3 linked regions of the Saccharomyces cerevisiae S288C genome follow. The protein of the gene in region 2 interacts with the protein of the main gene of each other region in a biochemical or structural test. Each region holds a gene or a part of one and is shown on either strand. Other genes may lie near its edges. The genes, in order: VPS3, VPS21 and VPS8.

Evidence for each region.
Region 1: the proteins of VPS21 (region 2) and VPS3 form a complex in vitro, tested with the Saccharomyces cerevisiae proteins (2 studies listed by BioGRID).
Region 3: the proteins of VPS21 (region 2) and VPS8 form a complex in vitro, tested with the Saccharomyces cerevisiae proteins (2 studies listed by BioGRID).

The regions. Positions count from the first base shown.
Region 1 is NC_001136.10:1,437,232-1,443,329, reverse strand, and holds VPS3 (CORVET complex subunit VPS3), read left to right. Parts: upstream 1-2,179; coding exon 2,180-5,215; downstream 5,216-6,098. Other genes in the region: PUF6 (Puf6p), read left to right, coding at 1-1,897; mitochondrial 37S ribosomal protein mS46 RSM28, read right to left, coding at 5,315-6,098. UniProt on the Saccharomyces cerevisiae protein: Required for sorting and processing of soluble vacuolar proteins, integrity of vacuolar morphology, efficient segregation of vacuolar material into the bud during the cell cycle, acidification of the vacuolar lumen, and assembly of the vacuolar H(+)-ATPase.
Region 2 is NC_001147.6:489,259-493,280, reverse strand, and holds VPS21 (Rab family GTPase VPS21), read left to right. Parts: upstream 1-2,452; coding exon 2,453-3,085; downstream 3,086-4,022. Other genes in the region: type 2C protein phosphatase PTC5, read left to right, coding at 440-2,158; YVC1 (Yvc1p), read right to left, coding at 3,547-4,022.
Region 3 is NC_001133.9:141,577-148,031, forward strand, and holds VPS8 (CORVET complex membrane-binding subunit VPS8), read left to right. Parts: upstream 1-2,130; coding exon 2,131-5,955; downstream 5,956-6,455. Other genes in the region: EFB1 (translation elongation factor 1 subunit beta), read left to right, coding at 598-677, 1,044-1,584; transcription factor TFIIIC subunit TFC3, read right to left, coding at 6,018-6,455. UniProt on the Saccharomyces cerevisiae protein: Required for localization and recycling of the CPY sorting receptor (VPS10) to the late-Golgi compartment. Involved in the retention of proteins to the late-Golgi. Plays an integral role in the complex vacuolar protein sorting process.

The sequences.
Region 1 (6,098 bases), on a different chromosome or scaffold from region 2:
CAAAAAACCTAGAATTTCTATTGATTCGTCTGATGAAGAATCAGAACTATCCAAAAAGGAAGATGCTGTATCCTCTTCATCAGATGATGATGATTTGGATGATTTAAGTACCAGTGACTCTGAAGCAGAAGAAGAAGCTGACGAATTAGATATTTCCGATGACAGTGAGGAACATGAAAATGAGAATGAAGAGAAAGAAGGAAAGGACAAATCTGAAGGAGGTGAAAATGGAAATCACACTGAACAAAGAAAACTGCTAAAAGAAAGGAAAATGCAAAGAAAATCTGGTACCCAAGTGCAACAAATTAAATCCGTCTGGGAAAGATTGCGTGTGAAGACCCCACCTTTACCAAAACAGATTCGTGAAAAACTTTCCAACGAAATCTGGGAGCTATCTAAGGACTGTATCAGTGATCTTGTCTTAAAGCATGATGCTTCCCGTATTGTTCAAACTTTAGTCAAGTATTCGTCCAAAGATCGTCGTGAACAAATTGTCGATGCTTTAAAGGGAAAATTTTATGTTCTAGCCACATCTGCGTACGGTAAGTATCTATTGGTTAAGTTACTGCATTATGGTTCAAGAAGTTCAAGGCAAACTATAATAAATGAATTACACGGTTCTTTGAGAAAATTAATGAGACATCGTGAGGGTGCCTACGTTGTTGAAGATTTATTTGTTCTTTATGCCACACATGAACAAAGACAACAAATGATTAAAGAGTTTTGGGGCTCTGAATATGCTGTATTTAGAGAAACCCACAAAGATTTGACCATTGAGAAAGTTTGTGAAAGTAGCATTGAAAAAAGGAATATTATCGCCAGAAACTTGATTGGTACCATTACCGCATCAGTAGAAAAGGGTTCCACCGGCTTTCAAATTCTACATGCTGCTATGAGAGAATATGTGAAAATAGCCAACGAAAAGGAAATATCTGAAATGATCGAATTGCTTCATGAACAATTCGCTGAATTGGTGCATACTCCAGAAGGTTCAGACGTTGCTTGTACTTTGGTTGCTAGAGCTAACGCCAAGGAAAGAAAGTTAATTTTAAAGGCTTTGAAAAACCACGCCGAAAAATTGATCAAAAATGAGTACGGTAATATTGTCTTCATTACAATTCTGAACTGTGTTGACGATACAGTTTTAGTATTCAAGACTTTCAGTCCTACTGTTAAGGAACATTTGCAAGAATTCATAATTGATAAGTTTGGTAGAAGGCCTTGGTTATACATACTATTAGGTTTGGACGGTAAGTATTTCTCACCTATCGTCAAGAATGAATTATTGAGATACATTGAACTGTCCAAAGCCACCTCTAAGAAGGATCCTTTACAAAGAAGGCACGAACTTTTGTCAAAATTCGCCCCCATGTTTTTAAGCACTATATCAAAAGATTATTCCAGTATATTGACAGAGAATCTAGGCTGTCAGTTCATTGCCGAAGTTCTAATAAACGATGAGTTGTACGCGCAGCTGAATGAAAAAGACCAAGAAAAGTATCAACAGGTCTTAAACAACATTTTAACTACTTTTAAGGGTGACATAACCGAAGAAGAGCACCCAATACATAGAGCATTTTCTACTAGACTATTAAAGGCACTAATTCAAGGTGGTAAATGGAATAACAAAGAAAAAAAGGTCATACCATTAAAAAATGTTCAAGGCTTAGGCGTTCCATTTGCTGAAAAGTTATACGATGAAATTATTGACTCCTCCAACTTGTTAGAATGGATTAATAACGCTGATAGTTCATTTACAATTGTTGCACTGTATGAAACGTTAAAAGATCAAAAAGAAGGGAAACCATTTTTGAAGGATTTGAGAGGAGTTCAGAGTAAAATCACCACTGATGAAAGTAACAAAGGCTCTCAGCTTTTGGCTAAATTGTTAAAATAAATTTTCTACGATAAAGTCACAATATTTGGTATATAAGCATCTGTACAATAATAATAAAAAGCTTGATCTCATTGAAAGTGCAGGTATATATAATTGTCTCCTAAAAACTCCTTACATCGCATAATATCTGTTGAAGATACCGTTCCGATGGGAAAAAAAGGCAAGTTTAACTGGAAATATTCATATGTACTTACTATTTTATAACGACATTAGTGAATCAGAACTATCATAACAGTCAAGGAGACTACCTTTTTTTGGTTGCAACCATAATATTATAGAACCATGGTAAAAAAGAAAACGAATAATGACAAAGGAAAAGAAGTAAAGGAAAATGAAGGAAAGCTCGATATAGATAGCGAATCCTCACCTCACGAAAGAGAAAATGACAAAAAAAAAACAGAAGATGATAGTCTACGTGCAACAGAAAGTGAAGAGACGAATACACATAATGCTAACCCAAATGAAACAGTACGAGCTGATAAATTTTCCCAGGAAGAGAGTCGACCAATCGAAGACAGTCCACATACTGATAAAAACACAGCACAAGAAAGCTGTCAGCCTAGCAGCGCAGAAGATAATGTCATAAATACAGATATTACAAGCTTAAATGAAAAAACCTCCACGAATGATGAACAGGAAAAAGGGTTGCCACTGAAAATAAGCGAAGGTCCTTTTACAATCTCTACCCTATTAGACAATGTACCATCTGACTTGATATACACATGTTGTGAGGCGTATGAGAACCACATATTCTTGGGAACAACTACAGGTGATCTTTTACATTACTTTGAACTTGAACGTGGAAACTATATGCTTGTGTCGCAAACAAAGTTTGATGCAGAATCAAATTCGAAGATAGACAAAATCCTTCTTTTACCTAAAGTAGAAGGCGCACTAATATTATGTGATAACGAACTAGTTTTATTTATTCTCCCAGAATTTGCACCAAGGCCCAACACAACTAGACTTAAAGGTATTAGTGATGTCGTTATTTGTAATTTTTCCCGAAGCTCGAAGGCTTATAGAATATATGCATTTCACGCAGAAGGCGTAAGACTACTCAAAATATCTGCAGATTCATTAGTACTTACCAAAGCTTTTAATTTCAAACTAATAGATAAAGCTTGTGCGCACGAAGAAACATTAATGGTTTCGAAGTTAAATAGTTACGAACTTATAAATCTAAAGTCGTCACAGGTAATTCCATTATTTCGAATAAGTGAGACTGACGAAGACTTAGAACCTATAATAACCAGTTTCAATGAACAGAGTGAATTTTTAGTTTGTTCTGGAGGAGGATCATACGATAGTGGGGCGATGGCCTTAGTGGTAAATCATCATGGCGACATAATAAAAGGAACTATAGTGCTAAAAAATTATCCAAGAAATGTAATTGTTGAGTTTCCCTACATAATCGCTGAGTCTGCTTTCCAGTCGGTTGACATATATTCTGCCTTGCCGAGTGAAAAATCCCAGTTGTTGCAAAGTATAACTACTTCTGGATCGGATTTAAAAATTTCAAAATCTGACAATGTATTCACTAATACCAATAATTCTGAAGAATTCAAAGAAAAAATATTCAATAAGTTGAGACTTGAGCCTCTGACACATAGTGATAATAAATTTAGAATTGAAAGAGAACGCGCCTTTGTTGAAGAGTCTTATGAAGAAAAGACCTCTTTAATCGTTTATAATAATTTAGGGATTCATTTATTAGTTCCAACGCCGATGGTCTTACGTTTTACATCATGTGAAGAGTCCGAAATTGATAATATTGAAGATCAATTGAAAAAGCTTGCGAAGAAGGATTTAACAAAATTTGAGCACATTGAAGCGAAATATTTGATGTCTCTTTTATTGTTTCTAATGACCTTACATTACGATCACATAGAAGATGAGGTAATGAAAAAGTGGTGTGACTTTTCTGACAAAGTTGACATCAGAATATTATTTTATATGTTTGGCTGGAAAGTCTATAGCGAGATCTGGTGCTTCCATGGGTTAATAAATATAGTTGAAAGGTTGAAAAGCTTGAAGCTAACTAACAAATGCGAGAATATTCTAAAAATGCTTCTGATGATGAAGAATGAACTAAAGAAAAAGAATAAAACTGGACTCTTAACGAATGACTTTGATGATATAATGAAAACTATTGATATAACTTTATTCAAATTAAGATTGGAAAAAAAGGAAACTATAACTGTTGATATGTTTGAACGCGAAAGTTACGACGAAATTATCAGAGAGATTAATTTACATGATGATAAACTTCCTAGGATAGAGTTACTAATTGAGATATATAAAGAAAAAGGGGAATATCTTAAAGCACTAAATCTTTTGAGGGAAGCTGGGGATTACATTTCACTAGTTTCATTCATTGAAGAAAATCTCAAAAAACTTCCTGAGGATTATATCAAAGAAAGAATAGCCGATGATCTTCTCCTCACTCTTAAACAAGGCGACGAAAATACTGAGGAATGCGCCATCAAAAAGGTTCTTAAAATATTGGACATGGCATGTATTAATAAAAACGACTTTTTAAACAAAATACCCGCAGAAGAAACATCCCTGAAGGTATCATTCATAGAACAACTCGGTGTCCAAAACAGCAACGATTCCAAATTTCTCTTTAACTATTATTTGGCGAAATTGCGAGAAATAATCAACCAAAGTAACATATGGTCCATTCTTGGAGATTTTATCAAAGAGTACAAAGACGATTTCGCGTATGATAAGACAGATATAACAAATTTTATTCATATCAAATTAAAGCATAGTCTTCAGTGCGAAAATTTTTCCAAATATTATGAAAAATGTGAAAACTTGAAATCGGAAAATGAAAAAGATGATGAGTTTATTAATTTCACCTTCGACGAAATTTCCAAGATCGATAAAGAACACATATTGACCTTGTTATTTTTCCCCAATGAATTAACAAACTGGGTTTCTTCCGAAGAATTGCTGAAAATATATTTGTCATTTAATGATTTCAGAAGTGTAGAAAAATACATAGGCAAGCAGAACTTGGTTGCGGTGATGAAACAATACTTGGACATATCTTCTTTGAATTACTCAGTTGAATTAGTGACTAATTTGCTACAGAGAAATTTTGAACTTTTAGATGATACAGATATTCAATTAAAGATCCTCGAAACTATACCTTCCGTATTTCCCGTACAAACAATATCCGAATTGCTTTTAAAGGTACTTATTAAGTATCAAGAAAAGAAGGAGGAATCTAATTTGCGGAAATGTTTGTTGAAAAATCAAATATCCATTTCTGACGAACTAAGCCGGAATTTTGATAGTCAAGGATAAGAAGAGCCCACCTATTCTTTTTCTGTTCAGGCATACAATTCAAATTTTATACGTACTAGATATTTACAGGTATGTAAGAATGAAATAACGATGTTTGATTTACTGTTGTAATTCAGAAATTGGTTTCATTCCAGAACAAACATCATATACCAATTTCTTTTCCTCGGAGCCCATAACAACAGATTGTAATGATAACCTCACAACTTGACTATTTTGTACGAGCTTACTCACAGTATCTTTAGATTTCGTCAGTTTTTCAAAATCTTTTTTCACATATGGTTTTAAGAGTTGATATTCTCCTGTTACTTGCCTATGAAAATCTTCTGGGTCTTCTTCAATAAGTAAATTCTGCAATTGAGGCTCTTTGGCAAAAATCAAGGAGGATCCTGGTGTATATTTACCAAAGTTTGGCGTGTTTAGGGTGAAATCATGTACTTTGAGGATTCCCAAATTTGGCGATCTGTAAATGGGGTAATTGGATTTTTTCAAGCTATCTAAGGTAAAGTTGACTAATCTGGATTCCTTTGTTGGAAAAACTTGAGGAGTATATTCTAACAAAGATAAAGGAGTGGGCTCTTCTAGTACATATTCTGAACTGACAGGTCTCTTGATAACCTTCTGTAGCTGCTGTTGAGGAGCCTTTCTCCTTTTAGATGCTGTTAAGATATGACTCTTTTTTTGAAACCTTGCTTTAGATTTGGGGGTTCCATTGAAATTAACAGGTTTTTGCTCCATCGACGAATTGAAGACATCAAGTAAATCATCTTCGACTCTCGCATCTCCTTTCAAATTATTTTTGCCATTCTGCATCTTTTTGAACTGTGGCTGCATAACTACTGTATTTCCAGTAGGATTCTTTACAAAAGACGTATTAGCACCTTTA
Region 2 (4,022 bases):
ATTTTTTCATTATCATCACAGTTCATCATGTTCGACGAGCTACGTGCCAATTCATTTCCTCCACTAGTCTCCAACTTAAGAAATACTCTCAGAGGTTGCAATCTTGTGCTGTTCAGGGTGTGATGGGCAGCATTGACTAAATTTCCTTATCCCTTGCATAGTTACATTCTTAGTTATCAGGTATTGGCGACCAATTGCATACATTTTTATTTTCTACTTTAAAACTCAGTAATGAGCAGTTACCGGCCCTTCATTATGTAGAAAAACAGGATTCACTTCTTTCTACACAAGATACAAAAAAGAAAAAAAGGATCGATTGGAGGGTAAACGAAATCGTGTGATAGGCAGGAAAAGAAACATCTATTGCTACTTTAATTGAATTTGTGCTCTACTGAAATTTTTCAACAGAAGAAGTGCTTTTACTTCTCTCAATCTCTCCATGTCTCCCTTAACTAGAACCGTAGCTATAAAGAAAACGGTTAAGGTTCTATCTAAATGTCAATCTGGTAGAGAATACACACAGAAGTTTCTCCAACGTGCATATTCAACATCACATGCCAACAGCACATACTATTCAAGGACAAAGCTATTCATATCATCACATTCTAAAGCTCTAAACATTGCTCTACTAAGCGGGTCCCTACTGTTGACCTACTCCTACTATTCCCCTAAAAAGATCCTCTCCCTTGATACAATTAACGGAATAAAAGATTATTCTACAAATACTAGTGGTAACATTAACATGCCGTCACCTAATCCAAAAGGAACAGAGACACAAAAGAGTCAACGGTCTCAGAATGACCAATCTGTTCTTATCTTGAACGATTCTAAAATAGAGGCTAAACTACATGATAGAGAGGAAAGCCATTTTGTTAACCGTGGCACTGGTATATTCAGGTATGATGTGGCACAGTTGCCCTCTAACCATCCAATAGAAGACGATCACGTAGAACAAATCATTACCATTCCGATAGAAAGTGAGGATGGCAAGTCCATAGAGAAGGATTTGTATTTTTTTGGAATTTTTGATGGACATGGTGGTCCTTTCACTTCGGAAAAATTATCTAAAGATCTAGTCCGTTATGTAGCGTATCAATTAGGTCAGGTATATGACCAGAACAAAACGGTTTTCCATTCCGACCCCAACCAATTAATCGATTCTGCAATTTCGAAAGGTTTTTTGAAACTAGATAATGATCTTGTAATCGAATCGTTCAGGAAGCTGTTTCAAGATCCAAACAACACAAATATTGCAAACACTTTACCAGCGATTTCTGGTTCTTGTGCACTATTAAGTTTATACAACTCCACTAACTCAATTTTGAAAGTGGCTGTCACTGGAGACTCAAGGGCTTTAATTTGTGGTTTGGACAACGAGGGCAATTGGACGGTAAAGTCGCTATCCACCGACCAGACCGGTGATAATTTGGATGAAGTACGGAGAATTAGGAAAGAACATCCAGGAGAACCAAACGTTATAAGAAACGGAAGAATATTGGGTTCATTACAACCATCCAGGGCATTTGGAGACTATCGCTACAAGATCAAAGAAGTCGATGGAAAACCATTATCGGATTTGCCTGAAGTTGCCAAACTTTATTTTAGAAGAGAGCCAAGGGATTTCAAGACACCCCCATATGTCACTGCGGAACCAGTGATTACTTCTGCCAAAATTGGTGAGAACACTAAATTTATGGTGATGGGTTCGGATGGTTTATTCGAATTACTAACTAATGAAGAAATTGCTTCCTTGGTTATCAGGTGGATGGATAAAAATATGAATCTGGCACCTGTGAAGGCAGAACCGGGGAAATTACCAAAAGTTATCGATGTATCTGAAGACAAGGAAGCACAAAGACCGGCATTCAGGTACAAGGATAATAATTCGAGCTCACCATCAGGATCAAACCCAGAGTATCTTATTGAAGACAAAAACGTCGCCACTCATTTAATTAGAAATGCATTAAGTGCGGGCGGAAGAAAAGAATATGTATCGGCATTGGTAAGTATACCATCGCCGATGAGTAGAAGATACAGAGATGACTTGACAGTAACAGTGGCGTTCTTTGGTGATTCTGGAACACCCTCAATTGTCTCCAATGCTACTTCAATAGTTATGAACCCGGAGGCAACAACAAAGCCAAAACCTAGATTATGACGATATAAACTTATGCTGAGGTAGGTATATACCAGAGGATTTATTTTATAGATATTAGTCTGCTGATTATCTAGTTTCTTGTCACCTCATACGTGTTTTTTTTTTTTTTGGTTTTCTCGGTTTGCATTATGGGGCTTTTTGCTAAAACAATATCCCCGAAAAGACAAAGAAAGAGAAGTGAGGTGAAAATACGAGCAGCTTATCTTATAAAAGTGGCAACGATTTTAAAAATAAAAAGCAAGATCGTCGACTTATCTAAGCTATAAAAAAATATCCCTTTTATCACACAAAAAAATGAACACATCAGTCACTTCCATAAAGTTGGTACTGTTGGGTGAGGCAGCAGTTGGTAAATCGTCAATAGTCCTAAGGTTTGTATCTAATGATTTTGCCGAAAATAAGGAGCCCACCATTGGTGCAGCATTCCTCACTCAAAGAGTTACTATAAATGAACATACTGTTAAGTTTGAAATATGGGACACTGCTGGGCAAGAGAGATTTGCATCTTTAGCACCTATGTACTATAGAAACGCACAAGCTGCTCTTGTAGTATACGACGTTACAAAACCACAATCCTTTATTAAAGCGCGCCACTGGGTTAAGGAATTACATGAACAGGCATCAAAGGATATCATCATTGCGTTAGTTGGTAACAAGATCGATATGCTGCAAGAAGGTGGGGAAAGAAAAGTCGCAAGGGAAGAAGGTGAAAAGCTAGCGGAAGAAAAGGGCTTGTTGTTCTTTGAAACAAGTGCAAAGACAGGAGAGAATGTTAACGATGTATTTTTGGGAATCGGTGAAAAGATACCACTGAAGACGGCTGAAGAGCAAAATAGTGCAAGTAACGAACGTGAGTCGAACAATCAAAGAGTGGATTTGAACGCTGCTAATGATGGGACCAGCGCAAACAGTGCTTGCAGTTGTTAGAGAGGGGAAAATAAATATATATAAAAAAAAAGTCTGGGCAAATTGAGATAAATAGATCTTCAAAACGGGAAAGATGAAAGTCATAATTTATCGTACCTAGAAAGGAGAGGGAGTTTTCATTTTTTACCGTAATCGTTGTTTTTCTTTTCTTCTTATAATTTGTAAATTTTTTAACTGCATTAGATCATTATATTATCTTTCAAAACGCCAGTCGTTTTTATTAGACCTTTATATACGTTTCAAAGTGGTTTGTACACGTTAGTTTAGTTAAACTTTTGTTTTCATGTAGACCAAAATATAAACTTATTTTATGCCGAAAATCGGGAGATGGATTAGTTAATATTGTAAATAATGATAAATTAAAGGAACATTAAATTTACAAAGTTGCAATGAGGAGCAATATATATATATATATATGGATTTCTGAGAAATTAATTAAGCAGTATTTGAACACATGTCGTTTACTCTTTCTTATCCTTTATGTCTAATTTTTCGAGTAGATCGGTAATTACAGCTGTCAAGTTTTCCACTTTCTTAGTGAGCTCTTTGACTTCATCTTTATCTTCACCAGCATCATCTTCAGTGTCATCGTTATCATACTGTTCGAAGGAGGGACTGCATTTTTTAACGTTTTTATACCACTTCTTAGGGACTTTAAAATGGACATCTTCCTGCTCTGCTGTTCTTTGCAGTTTTAGCGAACGGGAATTCTTTAACTGGGTGGCTCTCATGCCAGAATTTCGGTTATCAGAAAACAAACCGTCATCATCATCCAAGTAGCCATCTGTCAAATCCCATGGAGTATCATATTCATTGGCATCATCGTTTAACCTTTTCATCCTGTTATATTTTATCCTTCTAGCCTCCCGAGTTTCTTTAACAGAAATAAGCAACAAAAATGGGCTGTACACTATTGTCATTACAGTATAGCTCAAAT
Region 3 (6,455 bases), on a different chromosome or scaffold from region 2:
CATCAATCCACCCCTTATATAACCTTGAAGTCCTCGAAACGATCAGCTAATCTAAATGGCCCCCCTTCTTTTTGGGTTCTTTCTCTCCCTTTTGCCGCCGATGGAACGTTCTGGAAAAAGAAGAATAATTTAATTACTTTCTCAACTAAAATCTGGAGAAAAAACGCAAATGACAGCTTCTAAACGTTCCGTGTGCTTTCTTTCTAGAATGTTCTGGAAAGTTTACAACAATCCACAAGAACGAAAATGCCGTTGACAATGATGAAACCATCATCCACACACCGCGCACACGTGCTTTATTTCTTTTTCTGAATTTTTTTTTTCCGCCATTTTCAACCAAGGAAATTTTTTTTCTTAGGGCTCAGAACCTGCAGGTGAAGAAGCGCTTTAGAAATCAAAGCACAACGTAACAATTTGTCGACAACCGAGCCTTTGAAGAAAAAATTTTTCACATTGTCGCCTCTAAATAAATAGTTTAAGGTTATCTACCCACTATATTTAGTTGGTTCTTTTTTTTTTCCTTCTACTCTTTATCTTTTTACCTCATGCTTTCTACCTTTCAGCACTGAAGAGTCCAACCGAATATATACACACATAATGGCATCCACCGATTTCTCCAAGATTGAAACTTTGAAACAATTAAACGCTTCTTTGGCTGACAAGTCATACATTGAAGGGTATGTTCCGATTTAGTTTACTTTATAGATCGTTGTTTTTCTTTCTTTTTTTTTTTTCCTATGGTTACATGTAAAGGGAAGTTAACTAATAATGATTACTTTTTTTCGCTTATGTGAATGATGAATTTAATTCTTTGGTCCGTGTTTATGATGGGAAGTAAGACCCCCGATATGAGTGACAAAAGAGATGTGGTTGACTATCACAGTATCTGACGATAGCACAGAGCAGAGTATCATTATTAGTTATCTGTTATTTTTTTTTCCTTTTTTGTTCAAAAAAAGAAAGACAGAGTCTAAAGATTGCATTACAAGAAAAAAGTTCTCATTACTAACAAGCAAAATGTTTTGTTTCTCCTTTTAAAATAGTACTGCTGTTTCTCAAGCTGACGTCACTGTCTTCAAGGCTTTCCAATCTGCTTACCCAGAATTCTCCAGATGGTTCAACCACATCGCTTCCAAGGCCGATGAATTCGACTCTTTCCCAGCTGCCTCTGCTGCCGCTGCCGAAGAAGAAGAAGATGACGATGTCGATTTATTCGGTTCCGACGATGAAGAAGCTGACGCTGAAGCTGAAAAGTTGAAGGCTGAAAGAATTGCCGCATACAACGCTAAGAAGGCTGCTAAGCCAGCTAAGCCAGCTGCTAAGTCCATTGTCACTCTAGATGTCAAGCCATGGGATGATGAAACCAATTTGGAAGAAATGGTTGCTAACGTCAAGGCCATCGAAATGGAAGGTTTGACCTGGGGTGCTCACCAATTTATCCCAATTGGTTTCGGTATCAAGAAGTTGCAAATTAACTGTGTTGTCGAAGATGACAAGGTTTCCTTGGATGACTTGCAACAAAGCATTGAAGAAGACGAAGACCACGTCCAATCTACCGATATTGCTGCTATGCAAAAATTATAAAAGGCTTTTTTATAAACTTTTTATAATTAACATTAAAGCAAAAACAACATTGTAAAGATTAACAAATAAATGAAAAAAACAACGAAATAACTTAGGTTTTAGGCTAAAAAAAACAGAAGGAATTTTGAACGATAAACTTTTCGACTGCACACGAAACATTATTACTAATTTGTGTAACCACTATATAAGGAATCGTGTTTATTAATTGAATTTATTCCGGGAATATTCAAGTTATGTATATCTCTTTTCATATTCTTAAATACACATACTCATAATATCTTGTCGAAAATACGCGGTGTAGGGAGTTATGGTGGATAACTTTTTCACGATTAGAAGAAAAGGAAAATTTCATTATTCGTAGCTTAACATGGCAAAAACGAGAAAGACATATAATCAAAACGTGAGTTTCCTGTGGAAAAAAAAAAAAGGGAACCTCTGGTTACGATGATATACCTGCGTGAAAAAGGACAGTTATTACCAATACATACAAAGGCTTAATAAGTGTAAAATATATATCTGCCGAGACCATTACTCATTACACCTAGAATGGAGCAAAATGGCCTTGACCACGACAGCAGATCTAGCATCGATACGACTATTAATGACACTCAAAAGACTTTCCTAGAATTTAGATCGTATACCCAATTAAGTGAAAAACTGGCATCTAGTTCTTCATATACGGCACCTCCCCTGAACGAAGATGGTCCTAAAGGGGTAGCTTCTGCAGTGTCACAAGGCTCCGAATCCGTAGTCTCATGGACAACTTTAACACACGTATATTCCATCCTGGGTGCTTATGGAGGGCCCACGTGCTTGTATCCGACAGCCACGTATTTTTTGATGGGCACTTCTAAAGGATGCGTACTCATTTTTAATTATAATGAACATTTGCAGACAATCCTAGTGCCGACCTTATCTGAGGACCCTTCTATTCACTCAATAAGAAGTCCAGTGAAATCAATTGTCATATGTTCCGATGGTACTCATGTAGCTGCCTCATACGAGACCGGAAATATATGCATTTGGAACTTGAACGTAGGGTATAGAGTGAAACCCACTTCTGAACCAACAAATGGTATGACCCCAACGCCTGCCTTACCGGCAGTCTTACACATCGATGACCATGTGAACAAGGAAATCACAGGGTTAGACTTTTTTGGTGCTCGGCATACAGCCCTGATTGTTAGTGATAGGACAGGTAAAGTATCACTCTATAACGGTTACAGAAGAGGCTTTTGGCAGTTGGTGTATAATTCAAAAAAAATTTTAGATGTGAACTCTTCCAAGGAGAAATTAATAAGGTCAAAGTTGTCTCCACTAATATCACGGGAGAAAATTTCCACTAATTTGTTGAGTGTACTCACAACTACACATTTTGCCCTTATTTTATTATCGCCACACGTTTCTTTGATGTTTCAAGAAACTGTTGAACCCTCAGTACAAAATTCTCTAGTCGTGAATAGCTCTATTTCATGGACTCAAAACTGTTCCAGGGTTGCTTATTCCGTAAATAATAAAATTTCTGTTATTTCCATATCTTCATCAGACTTCAATGTTCAGTCCGCTAGCCATTCTCCTGAATTTGCAGAATCTATATTATCCATTCAATGGATTGACCAGCTCCTACTTGGTGTTTTAACCATATCGCACCAATTTTTGGTATTGCACCCCCAACATGACTTCAAGATCCTGTTAAGATTGGATTTTCTGATTCACGATTTGATGATCCCACCTAATAAATATTTTGTAATAAGTAGAAGAAGTTTCTACCTGTTAACAAACTACTCATTTAAAATTGGCAAATTTGTGTCTTGGTCAGATATTACTTTAAGACATATTTTGAAAGGCGACTACTTGGGTGCATTGGAGTTCATAGAATCACTTTTGCAACCTTACTGTCCACTGGCAAACTTGTTGAAGCTAGATAATAATACGGAAGAGAGGACTAAGCAACTTATGGAACCATTTTACAATCTGTCCTTGGCTGCCCTAAGGTTTCTTATAAAAAAAGATAATGCCGACTACAATAGGGTTTACCAATTATTAATGGTAGTTGTTCGTGTTTTGCAGCAATCTTCCAAAAAACTAGACTCAATTCCTTCTCTAGACGTCTTTTTGGAACAGGGTCTGGAGTTCTTTGAATTGAAGGACAACGCGGTATATTTTGAAGTTGTAGCAAATATTGTTGCCCAAGGATCAGTTACGTCAATTTCCCCAGTTCTTTTCAGGTCCATAATTGATTACTATGCTAAGGAGGAGAATTTAAAAGTAATTGAAGACTTAATCATCATGTTAAATCCTACTACGCTTGATGTTGATCTTGCCGTCAAACTATGCCAAAAGTATAATTTGTTCGATTTATTAATATATATTTGGAACAAGATCTTTGATGATTATCAAACCCCAGTGGTGGACTTGATATACAGGATTTCTAACCAAAGTGAAAAATGTGTGATCTTCAATGGTCCTCAAGTACCTCCTGAAACGACTATATTTGATTACGTAACGTATATCCTTACTGGCAGGCAATATCCACAAAACTTGTCTATATCACCAAGTGATAAATGCTCCAAAATACAAAGGGAACTTTCAGCATTTATTTTTAGTGGCTTCTCCATAAAATGGCCGTCGAACAGCAATCATAAACTTTACATATGCGAAAATCCAGAAGAAGAGCCAGCATTTCCTTACTTTCACCTTTTATTGAAATCGAATCCGAGTAGGTTCTTAGCAATGCTCAATGAAGTGTTTGAAGCGTCCTTGTTTAACGATGACAATGACATGGTTGCATCAGTTGGAGAAGCAGAATTGGTAAGTAGGCAATATGTTATTGATCTACTATTGGATGCTATGAAAGATACGGGAAATTCAGACAACATCAGGGTACTTGTTGCAATTTTCATTGCAACTAGTATATCAAAATATCCTCAATTTATTAAAGTGTCTAACCAAGCCCTCGACTGCGTTGTTAATACCATATGCTCCTCTAGGGTTCAAGGTATATATGAAATTTCTCAAATAGCTCTGGAGTCGCTTTTACCCTATTATCATTCAAGAACAACAGAAAATTTTATACTGGAACTAAAAGAAAAAAATTTCAATAAAGTTCTTTTCCATATCTATAAAAGTGAAAATAAGTACGCCAGTGCGCTTTCACTTATTTTAGAAACTAAGGACATCGAAAAAGAATATAACACGGACATTGTATCCATAACCGACTACATACTCAAAAAATGCCCACCTGGAAGTTTAGAATGTGGCAAAGTTACTGAAGTTATCGAGACGAACTTTGATCTTCTTCTCTCAAGGATCGGTATCGAAAAATGCGTCACAATTTTTTCTGACTTTGACTATAATCTTCATCAAGAAATCCTGGAAGTAAAGAATGAGGAGACTCAGCAAAAGTATTTGGATAAGCTTTTTTCTACGCCAAATATCAACAATAAGGTCGATAAGCGTTTAAGAAATTTACACATCGAATTGAACTGTAAATACAAGAGCAAAAGGGAAATGATTCTTTGGCTTAATGGTACAGTTCTCAGCAACGCTGAGAGCTTACAAATTCTGGACTTATTGAATCAAGACTCTAATTTTGAAGCTGCAGCTATAATTCACGAACGCTTGGAAAGTTTTAACCTAGCAGTCAGGGATTTATTAAGTTTTATTGAACAATGTCTAAATGAAGGGAAAACAAATATATCTACTTTATTGGAATCTTTGAGGAGGGCCTTTGATGATTGTAATTCTGCTGGTACCGAGAAAAAATCGTGTTGGATATTATTGATTACATTCCTGATCACTCTATATGGGAAATATCCTTCACACGATGAAAGGAAAGATTTATGTAATAAACTACTTCAAGAAGCATTTTTGGGATTGGTTAGGTCCAAGAGTTCCTCTCAGAAGGATTCAGGTGGGGAATTCTGGGAAATAATGTCTTCTGTTCTTGAGCACCAAGACGTTATTTTAATGAAAGTTCAGGATTTAAAGCAACTGCTACTGAATGTTTTTAATACTTATAAATTGGAAAGATCTCTTTCTGAGTTGATTCAAAAGATTATAGAGGATTCTTCGCAAGATCTTGTTCAACAGTATAGAAAATTTCTGAGTGAAGGGTGGTCTATACACACCGACGACTGCGAAATCTGCGGGAAAAAAATATGGGGAGCTGGTCTGGACCCATTACTTTTTCTAGCTTGGGAAAATGTACAGCGCCACCAAGATATGATTAGTGTAGATCTCAAAACTCCCCTTGTCATATTCAAATGTCACCATGGCTTTCACCAGACTTGCCTCGAAAACTTGGCCCAGAAACCCGATGAATATTCTTGTTTAATTTGCCAGACGGAATCTAACCCAAAAATAGTATAACATTTCTAAATATTTAATACAACTTTGGTTACATAAAAGTAAAATTTATACACCTCATTTCATTATGTAGATTCATATATAGAATACCAATTATGATTGACCCAATAGCCATCAAAATCAGTAGTTATTAATACTTGTCTTTCTAGGAGCCATTTGCATATTTCTGATATTTCATGAAGCGAAAGTACTTCACGACACCTAGATTGCAATCTACTCAATGTTATCCCTGGATGAAATATTATTTCGTTAACGACCATAGTAACTACCTGCTTCCATATGTTTGGCCTAATGGAACCAGATCCATTCACCCATAAACGAGAAAATGGTTTGCCCAGTGGAACTTTGACAGCAGACTTCCTTGCTGTATTCAATTTTGTCTGAGAATTGGCATATATAATCAGAGGGGGAGTTAATGTTCGTATTTCAAATCTCCTTGAAGTATACGTTAAAGGTCGAACATTTCTCACCATTGGAATTACATCCATATTCAATAGCTCTCC